Linked DNA regions of Pelodiscus sinensis. The protein of the gene in region 2 interacts with the protein of the main gene of each other region in a pairwise test. Links are inferred from orthologs where the notes say so. Each region holds a gene or a part of one and is shown on either strand. Other genes may lie near its edges.

Region 1 (4,895 bases), on a different chromosome or scaffold from region 2:
CACTGACAGCGTGTATACATGCACACAGCTACACAGTTGTAATATATACCCACATTTACACCACATAAGGAAAATAAAATAAAAGGAGAAAAAAAATGTGTCCATGAGAGAAATAACAGTACAAATGCTTCACTGAAACATCACTACTTGGTACACAAATAGTTACTTCATAAAATGTCTACCCTGTTACACATCATCTTCATTTGAAAAACTGTATGGGCAGCAGATCAGTTTTTTTCCCTAAAGGCGTTCACTGTTAAATATGGCTTGATGAATTATGTTCTTATTTAAATACAATGAAAGAATGAGATTCAATTAAGCTTTGACCTATTTCTTTTAATAAAAGCTACAGGAGTGCGTTCTCAAAAAATACAAGAAAATAACATTCCAAGCTCAAAATCACTCACAAAAAGCTTTTAACAATGCTTTGAAATGTGTATGTCTTTCCTTTTAGCATGGCAGAACAGTAATCTCATATCTAAGCGTTGCCAAACGTTATTCATCAACATGGAATATCTAATCAGTATGTTAGAGAAATGGAAAATATAAGGAGAAAAAATAAAATGTCTCCTGAGTGTGTAAATGCTTAGATATACTACTAAGCCAAAAACAAAAAAAAGGGGGAGGGAGGGGAGACTGGGGATGAAGACAGGGAGACACAGACACAGAAAACATTGGGTTGAAAAATACCCACCTCTAGCAGACAGCTTTTTGGTGTTGATAATTTTGGCAGCATACTCTTGTCCTGCAGGAATTTTCACACATCTTCTTACAACTGAGAATGCCCCCCTGAAAACCAATAACCAGACAAACATCAGCACAGGAGCTATAATATTGATAATGATTCTAATAATGTGAGTGTTTTAACTGATTTGATTGAAATGCATATTGTGGATGTAAGAGACAGGCAAATGAGCACGAAATGGCAATCATTATTCATTTTATAGACTACAACAATTAACTGGATTTAAAATATAAAAGTGACCACAAGTCACGGTAAGCAGTTTTAATATATGTCCAGAAAACTGTAAGTGATGGTATTTACACACCAGAAACTTGCACATTTCACTGTTCCTCGACTCAAAAGCCTCAACTGCTCCCTGACTACATTACAGTAATCAAACCTGTTAAGTGTAAAAAAACAAAACCAAACCTGTGTAAAAATTACACCTCCGGCTTTGTCAATGTGGCTATTATATTTAATTAAATTTAAACAGAGCTCATTCATGTGAGTAAGAAGTGTATCTTAATGAACACAGCGCTACACAGGGACATCCTACTCCTTGCAGAAAAGGAGCATTTGAATTACACTGCTGTTTACAACATTCTCCATGTTTTTGATACCAAATGGTATCCCCACAAGCCTTTTCAAGTCATTTACATAACAAAATGACACACCAATGAATTCTCAATTTAAACAGAAAGCAAAAAAAAAACTGGAGAGTAGAGAATAGTTAATTTCAAGTATGAACAATACACAGCCATCAGCTTGTGTGTGAATAATGTATGAATGTCTGGATATATTTTTGAGTGTCTACATAAACCGGGCAGCTTTTCTGACCATGGGCAGAGCTCTCTCATCTACCTTGGGTTTCTCTTACCCTAGTGAGAATGGTGGCCGTAAATCCTGAAGAGATGATAGATGCAATGTGACATTACCAGCAAGAACAACAATAATTCTTCACAAATAACAAGAGGACGGGAGGGGAGGGTCGCCCTTCCTCCCCATTGGAAGTACTGGATGCAAGAGATACTGTACATCCAGCTGAACTTTCTGCCTCAATAAACGTAGCACCTAATTGTATCAAGTATAAAACAGACAAGCATGCAAAGCAAGCTAGGCAGCTGTGTCTAAAAATTATGCATTTATCCTTTAGATTCGTGCATGGAGCTGAATCCTCCCTCCCCCTAGGACAACTCCAACTGCAGAGCTTAGCAATGCAATGAAGACTCCTTTGCAAAGGATCTGAGGCAGCAGCCACCACCCCCATTCCGAACAAAAGCCACAACTTTGCCCAGCCGCAACCTGTCAAACCACTTCCCTTGCTCCCAACCGAAATCCCCCTCCTCCCCTCGACCCCTTCCCCCACCGCGGCGCTTACTTTCCAAGCTCCTCGAAGAGCTGGTACTCGTCGGTGAACCTGGTGCAGGTAGCGGTTGAAGCCATCATGAGTCCAGGCTGCTCCTGCCGGTGCCTCGGAGGCAGAGAGGGACTGGGAAGAGGGGGGCGGACCGGAGGCGAGACGGGAGAGAAGCCGCGCTTCTTCTCCTCCCGGCGAGTCGGCGTCACCCTTGCTGGCTTCTTTACTTTCTTGTTGGATAGTCGGCTGGGGCTGGGCGGACGGGTGGGGCGCTCCACGCCGCCGGGCGAGCTGTCCTTGCCGCTCGTCCCTCCCCTAGTCCTTCTGCTTCAGTATAAGCCCCTCAAAGGTCGGGCTTGGAGAGGAAACGGCCCGCGAAAGGGAAACCAAAACCAGCCGACAGGCAGCGCGGGAAGGCGAGAGGCAGCCCAGCCAGCAGTGACTAAGAATAAAACAGCTGGGCGGCTGGTGGGAGGAGGAGCGGGGAACTGGAACCCCGCAGCTGCCCCGGTCCACTCCGCCTTTGCTCCGCGCGGGGCTGGGCCCTGACCGCGGCAGCAGCAGCCGCCGGCCTGTGGGGAGCTCTGTGCGGCTCGCCCGGCCGCCGCTACAGCCAGCAGCAGCGCAGCGCTAGGGTGGGGGGAGCAGACCGAGCAGAAGTAGTAGCTGGAGGTAGCGGAGGGGGGGGGGGGGTCTTTCTCCTCCTGCGGCAGCTGCTTCTGCCGTCCTCGTCTCCCTCTCTTTGGGGCACGGCTCCCTCTAGCGGTGCGCAACACGTGGGGGGGCTGCGAGCTCTCGGGGGGCTTTCCCCCGAAGACAGTCTCTGCGGCCACTCCCTCGCCTTCCCAAGGAGCCTGGCCGGTTCTCCCCTAGCAGCGTTCCCAGCGCGGCCGCCGGGCACGAGCAGCGGGAGAGGAGGAGGAGGAGGAGGGTGAATGTCTCACTGAAACACAGCGGCGCTCCGCTCGCCGCGGCGGAGGCTGGGCGTGAGCCTACCCCAGGCAGGAGCGGAGGGGAGAGCTCAGTGGCGGGGCTGCTTTGTGTACCGGGAGCCGGCTGCCAGCTCCCCGCGCGGCGCGGCTCGCTGCAGCAGCTGCACAGCCTCCCCGCTGCCAACGAGGCACGTGGGCTTAGTCCACAGCTGGAGGACGTTCCGCCTGACCTCCGCCCGCGGGCTGCCAGCTGCGCGCGGCCCGCGCAGGACCTCCCCCTAGCCCACCGCACGCGCGCCTGCCTCCGCCCTTCGCCGCGTTCCATTCCGAAGCGTCATAATTGACACGCAGCCCGGGCGCGTTCCAGGCAGCCTCCTCTAGGGCAGCGCGTGTTGCTTCTCGCGAGACTTGGCTCTAGGTTGGGGCGGGGCAGGAGCGAGTGAGCTAGTTAACACCCCCGCCCCCGTCTGGAGACGCTCTCTGCTCTCCAGCGTGCGGTGGGGCGCGGGCTTTAGCGCCGCTGCAAGGGAGGCGGGCTTGGCGTGATGCGTCCGCGTGGGGAGAGGTCTCTGCCTGGGGGCGCCAAGCGTCTTTCCTCCCCCCAAGTCTGCAAAACCGCATGGGCGCTTCTTTGTAGCTTTCCCAGCTTCAGCGACTCACTCCTCACTGGCAATCTGGCTTAGCGCCCGGCGAATTGCAGTAAATCGCTTCTGAATAAATGTGCACAGCATCCTGTTTTCAGCTTCATTTTGCCACCTTGTAATCCGGAGTTGTACATGGTGAAGTGTCTGTACACCTCCGGCTGCAGGCATTTAATGGTGTATTTTATTTCTTCTTGGGGGGGGGGGGGGAATCAGCCAGAACAATTCAACCAATTACTAACCTGGAAGGCTGGGGGAAAAATCCGTTCTTTGCCCATATGGAAACATTCTGCTGACCTTTTCTTCAAACAGCTGTGTGGTTTAAAGTAAAAGGTTCGGAAATGTGGCTAGTCCCAGGAAGGCGCAGAAACAGGCAAACTATTACTAAATATCTTTTAAACTTTTATTAAAGGGCTTTGTATAAAATCATAATTTATCAATTTCTTACATACATAGGCACCAAATAATTATTAGACTGTCCAATAAGCAAAATGCAATACAGAGAAGAAAATTCTTTGAGGTTTCTCTAAATCCCAATAGTTGTTAACAAGGGACTAGGGATTATTAACAGTTACATTTACATCAGTCTTACTTATAAGACTAATCATTTATCTAAAACTTTTAACACTACTACTTAACAATACCTCTAAACAATTTCAGATAACAATACTTACATTTAACAGACACACAAACTACAACAACATATTTGGTATTTGTTATGTTTGGTATACGTTACACTCTACAGGAACTCGTTTGGTTCGGTGAGCGGGAGGTGGCCCTCGGGTGATCAGTCCTCGGACCTGGCTCGTATTCCGCCATCCAATGTTTATTCGGGATTCCTCAATTTGATACAGGAGAGGAAGCTGTTTTATAGAGAAAGCTTTTGTGCGCTTTTTGTGATAGGCTAGCTGTTAAGTGACAGGAGTAAGGGGATGAGATGGTTTCCTGTTTTTCCTTTTCTGCCTTATCGGACATGGCACAACCAGCATGAACTTTACATGAACTTTTTGGGTCTGGTTTTGGTTCCTATTCGTCGCTGATCTTTAAGTTACATAGTGTAAGGGTTTTCATCAAGGGGAAGTTGACCTTTTGCTTGGATGGCAATACGCGCGAGAGGCCTGGCCAGCAAAGAGCCTGCTTTCACAAGCTGGAGTGCCCTGGAGCTTTAGAAAACAGACTTGACATTTGGTGGAAAGATGGCCCTTGTGTCAACGATGTCCTTTTTGCCACCTCATGACATT
Region 2 (4,895 bases):
TCGAAACTCAAACAGTCTCCCTGGATTAGGTAACGTTGCTAACAGGATTAGGAAATGTTGCTCATGTAGAATTTGCAGCATGCTAACTGAACCGTAGCAGTGCTTTGACGGGATGCAGAAGGAGCGCACAGCTTTTACAACGTTCACCATGCACCTCACTTTATGTGTTCTTGCTTTACATGTGTGTCAATTTTATAATATTGATAGGGAAAAAAACACATGGACAGAAACCAGTGGAATCTGGTAGCCCTGCACACGGGCAATGCTAAACAAAATGTCTCCTGGGTCACACACAGAGCCCCACTGGGCAATCCCCGTAGCCTCTGTTGTCAGAAACTCAGAATGGATCACTTGGTGATTCCTTGTTCTGTTCATTCCCTTTGGGGCACCTGACATGGGTCATTGTTGGAACATAGGACACTGGCCTAAATGGACCTTTGGCCTGACCCAGAATGGCTGTTCTTATGTATGGATTTAACCAACCTGTTTAAAAATGACACCTGTATAGTGAGACTGTGCAGACCAGGCTGTTAGGTTATGCTACTGTAATATGAATAACCTCTAGTCCCCACCCCCTGGCCAGAGCTGGCCTCCCAGCTCTAACCACTAGCCCCCACTCCCCTCCTAGAGCTGGAGAGAACCCAGAAGTCCTGCCTCCCTCCTCAATCTCAGTTTGATTCAACAGCTTGGGGAAGGAGGCGGGTCTTCTGCTTCTCTTGGGCCTATCCCGCCTCTTCCTCCTATCACGTGACCGGTACCCGCGTCTTTCCCACCACGTGACGCCCCGCTTTCCCTCCCTCGGGTCACGTGGGGGGGCTGCCAGAGGGCGGGGGACGGCGGCCGGCAGGGGTCAGCGCCCGCGTGTCGCGTTTGCTCGTTTTGCCGCCGCAGCCGCCTCCCTCCCGGGCCGGGCCGCGGGAGCCGCCACCGGAGCGTGAGCGCGAGAGGCCGCCGCGGGCCGCCGGGCAGGTACCGCCGCGCCGGGCCGCCTAGGCCGCCGAGCCCGCCCGGGCCTGCCGGAGGCGGGCGGGGGCAGCGTGGCCGCCGGGCCGTGGGCGGGAAGGGAGGATGGGGGGGAGGGGGAGCAATGGGGGAGAGGGGAGCGATGAGGGGGGAGGATGGGGGAGGGGGGAGCGATGAGGGGGGAGGGGGAGCAATGGGGGGATGAGGGGGGGAGGATGGGGGAGGGGGGAGCGATGAGGGGGGAGGATGGGGGAGGGGGGAGCGATGAGGGGGGAGGATGGGGGGGAGGGGGAGCAATGGGGGATGAGGGGGGAGGGGGAGCAATGGGGGGATGGGGAACTGAGGCCGCCAGGGAGGTGGGTCAGGGGGTGGGGGCACTACTGGGGGAGCCCAGAGGGAGTGGGGTGGTTGGGAGATGGGGGGGGGTATAGGAGGGAGCCCAGCGGTGCGTGGGAGGGGGGTGGGACGAGCCTGGTGGAGGGGGGACTCTCGAGGGCTGGCGGGGGAGGGGCCGAGGGTAGGGATGGTTGGGAAGGCTCCAGGGTGGGACAGAAGTTGGGGGCAGTCACTGGAGGGTGTGAGGTGCCGGGGAGGAAAGAAGCATTTGGAGCAGAGGAAGATGGAGCTTGGGCCTGTTCCTCTGGGCTGGGGGATGACGGAGCCTCTCTCTTTCCCCTCTGGCCCAGATAGCACCATGCAAGGGAACCCCATGATCTTGACTCAGCTTGGAGAGGGGGATTTGGGGCTGGATCAGCAGGGAGTGGGAAGAGGGGCTGTTTAAAGACGGCCTGCCCGAAGCAGGGATGGGCTAGGAGGCAGTGGGGTCTGCTCTAGAAAGGGTGGGGCAGAGAGGAAATGGTGGGGGTGGAGGCTCAGTCTCTCTCCACGTGTTTCTCCTGGTTGTGGCTGTTGGTAGGGGAGTTCCAGCAATGCTCCAAATAGAAAAGGTGAGGAAATGCCCCTCCAAAAAAAAAATCTCTTCATATCCCCTGAGCGTTCTGCCTCTGCTGAGCTCCCCATGTGGTTTGGTTTCTTGGTGATAAGCATTTGGGAAACCCTAGAAGTTAGGGGTTTTCCTTTACTTATTTTTCTTCTCCAGCCCGATTCCGAATATCCCATTTCTTGGTGTTTCCCTTGGGAGGTCGATTGCACAGTGCAGGAGATCCCTTAGCAAAAGGAAACATTTCACATCATTCGCCTAAACTTTCTCCAGTGGCTTCCCTGCTGTTGTTCCTAGGTCCGTACATCCCTGGAGATGGATGTGCTGCTGCGGGGGTGGGCAAACCATGCCTCTTTCAGCCAAGGGCCCGATCCAGCCCTTTCTTAGCTCTGTAAGATGTTGCACTAATATGATCCCCGCTACGCCCACATTCCAACCTTAAAACGAAAATAACATTTTCAGCAAGGCTGGTTCCTGCCGAGGCAGCAGAAACTTTTCTTGCCTCTGTATGATGGCAGGAAGGACCCATGTATATTGAAAAGGCTCCTGGATCAGAGCTGTGTCCAGTCATTGCTAGTGAAGGCTTGTTGTGGCTGACAGCCAGAGTTCTGCAATGCTTTGTGTTCTTCATTGCAGTTGTAGCGCGATGCGCTGAATGGAGTATCATTAACCTCTTTTCCTTCCTCTGTAGCTAACGCTCTGCACCATGGATTGGCAGCCAGACGAGCAGGGACTACAGCAAGTGCTGCAGTTACTCAAAGATTCTCAGTCTCCTAACACTGCCACACAGCGTGTTGTCCAGGACGTATCCTTGGAATAAGCCAGGTGGTTCGCTAGGAGGCCATTGCAGAGCCAAGTTGTGTGTGTTTGCTTCACTAGCTCAGTAAATTATGCTGAAAACTAAAACCCTTTACATCAAGGTGCCTGGCAGAGCCTTAACATGGGGGGAGATTTTAGTATTCCTGTCTGGGTTTATTTTTTGTCCCATTGAAGAATCTGTTGCTGACATGCAGCTTGGCAGGGTGCTTGTCTGGTCCTTAATGGTACCCAGAATCTGTTTCGTGCAGATCTTTGCATCTGTCTTCCCTTGAAATTCCTGTGTTGTGCCATGTGCCTTTTTCCTTCACCTAGCATTGTAGAAACTGAAGCAACTGAACCAATATCCTGACTTCAATAACTACCTGATATTTGTCTTGACACGGCTGAAATCGGAAGGTACGTAATCTGCCTCGATGGAAGTGCATGGAAAATACACGGGGACTTCTCCCTTTGCCATTAAGTATCTCTCTCATGAAAAATTCCCTAACTGGGGATTGTTGGGCTAATGTGTGCAAGCAAGAGAAGAGAAAACGGAGTATTTTGAGGTTGGTTCCCTTGAGTAGGGAAGCCCTTCACTGAGACATCTGTGCTAGGCTGTCTTGCTTGTTAACTGAGTTTGTATCTGATTCAGGCCTGACCCCGTAAGGCCATCACGCTTCTTGAAATGTCTGCTGCTAGTTCCTTGTGACTAGCTGGAAGTTCATGCTTTCCAGAGGTGGTGCTGCAAGAATTAGGCTAGATCACAAGTGGTTTAAGAAATTTGTTGAGGTGGCGGGAATTAGAGTAGGGAATCTTGTACTCCAAGGTTCTTGGCCTTTCTGTGAGAGCGAGAGAGACTGAGTCAGGAGATGGGACGTGTGTAACTGTTAGCAGCTATGTGCTGCCCCCACCCCCATGTCTCCATCTGGCAAGGAGGTGCTGTGTGCCCATTGTACAGATGGGGAACTGAGGCATGATGTGGCTAAATGACTTGACCAAAGTTGTTTGTGTGGAACAGAATTGAAGCTTGTGTCCCAGGTTAATGCTGTAACCAGTGGGCCAGCCTTCCTCTCCAAACTGGGACTGCTGTGTTCCGTTCCCAGCTGTGGGCTAGTGGTGGCCGGTACTCCTGATCTGTTCCCTGCTAAACTTTCTGAAATCTCAGTGAGTCAGTTCCCCTCCTGCTCATTTTGGGCCTCCTTCCAAGCGAGGCTGGTATTCGCTCTGCCGTGGATCGGGCCATGCCTATCAGTGCCCTGCAAAGGAGCTTGTCTTGGAAGAGGAATGGCAAGCCATGGCCTTTGCAAATGAAGGTATAGCGCGAGCATCCCAAAAGGCAGCTGGCTGTATCCTGAACCATCACGTGCTTTGGGATTATAGGCACGGGTGCCTGGGAAGCAGACCCCCTCATGCTTCACATCCTTTCGCCCGTAGGCCGTCAGCGCTCTAGATCCATATCGGAATCTCTTGTCCTCCGGTTGCTCTCAGACAAGCAGCCACCTCTGGGGTGAGCAGCGACAGCAGTTTTTAGAATTCTGTTTGTCCCCTTCCAAACCTTCTCTCACCAGATGAACCGACGCGCTCGCTCAGCGGGCTGATCCTGAAGAACAACGTGAAGGCGCACTACCAGAGCTTCCCCCAGCCCGTGGCGGAGTTCATCAAGCAGGAATGTCTGAACAACATCGGCGACGGCTCGTCACTTATCAGAGCCACGATCGGTAAGAGCGGCGGGGAAGAGACAGGGTTGCTCTGTGGGCAGTTGGAGGCCACTTGGAAGGAGCATTTCCCGGCTTGTGCTCACACCACCTGCGTAAATCGGCACGTGGAGCGGAGGTGGGGATGTGTTCTAATGATGCCCTTAAAGCGAGGCTGTGCTGGCTGATGTGGGAATTCTTCAGTGGCCCGTCTTGTGTCGTCTCTTTCGTGGGAGAGGATTTTTCTCACTGCTGGTGCTCGGCTCTTCCTGCCGGTGAAGAATCCGTGGTGGGAATGTAGTTAATGCAGGCGGTAGGGATGTCAAATCCTACTTCATTAATCAGCTGAGCGATAGTTTAACCAGTTAGCGGTGAGGCTTACCAGTTAAGGGGTTCCCCGGTAACATCTCTAGCAGGAGGTGGGATTTATTTAATTGATTTAAAATATTTTTACCCTGCCTCTCTATTTAAAATATTCGAGGTAGCATACAAAATTTTTG

What was found.
Region 1: the proteins of TNPO2 (region 2) and CAMK2D interact in binary tests that used the Homo sapiens proteins (3 or more experiments, as listed by UniProt). The two-hybrid records come from large-scale screens. The link is inferred for Pelodiscus sinensis from reciprocal best matches to the Homo sapiens genes TNPO2 and CAMK2D.

The regions. Positions count from the first base shown.
Region 1 is NC_134715.1:32,404,862-32,409,756, forward strand, and holds the start of CAMK2D (calcium/calmodulin-dependent protein kinase type II subunit delta), read right to left. Parts: upstream 3,414-4,895; 5' UTR 2,171-3,413; coding exon 2,103-2,170; intron 790-2,102; coding exon 695-789; intron 1-694. UniProt on the Homo sapiens protein: Calcium/calmodulin-dependent protein kinase involved in the regulation of Ca(2+) homeostatis and excitation-contraction coupling (ECC) in heart by targeting ion channels, transporters and accessory proteins involved in Ca(2+) influx into the myocyte, Ca(2+) release from the sarcoplasmic reticulum (SR), SR Ca(2+) uptake and Na(+) and K(+) channel transport.
Region 2 is NC_134729.1:13,328,091-13,332,985, forward strand, and holds the start of TNPO2 (transportin-2), read left to right. Parts: upstream 1-1,544; 5' UTR 1,545-1,892; coding exon 1,893-1,910; intron 1,911-2,062; exon of another isoform or gene 2,063-2,200; intron 2,201-2,594; coding exon 2,595-2,708; intron 2,709-3,042; coding exon 3,043-3,118; intron 3,119-4,269; coding exon 4,270-4,419; intron 4,420-4,895. UniProt on the Homo sapiens protein: Probably functions in nuclear protein import as nuclear transport receptor. Serves as receptor for nuclear localization signals (NLS) in cargo substrates.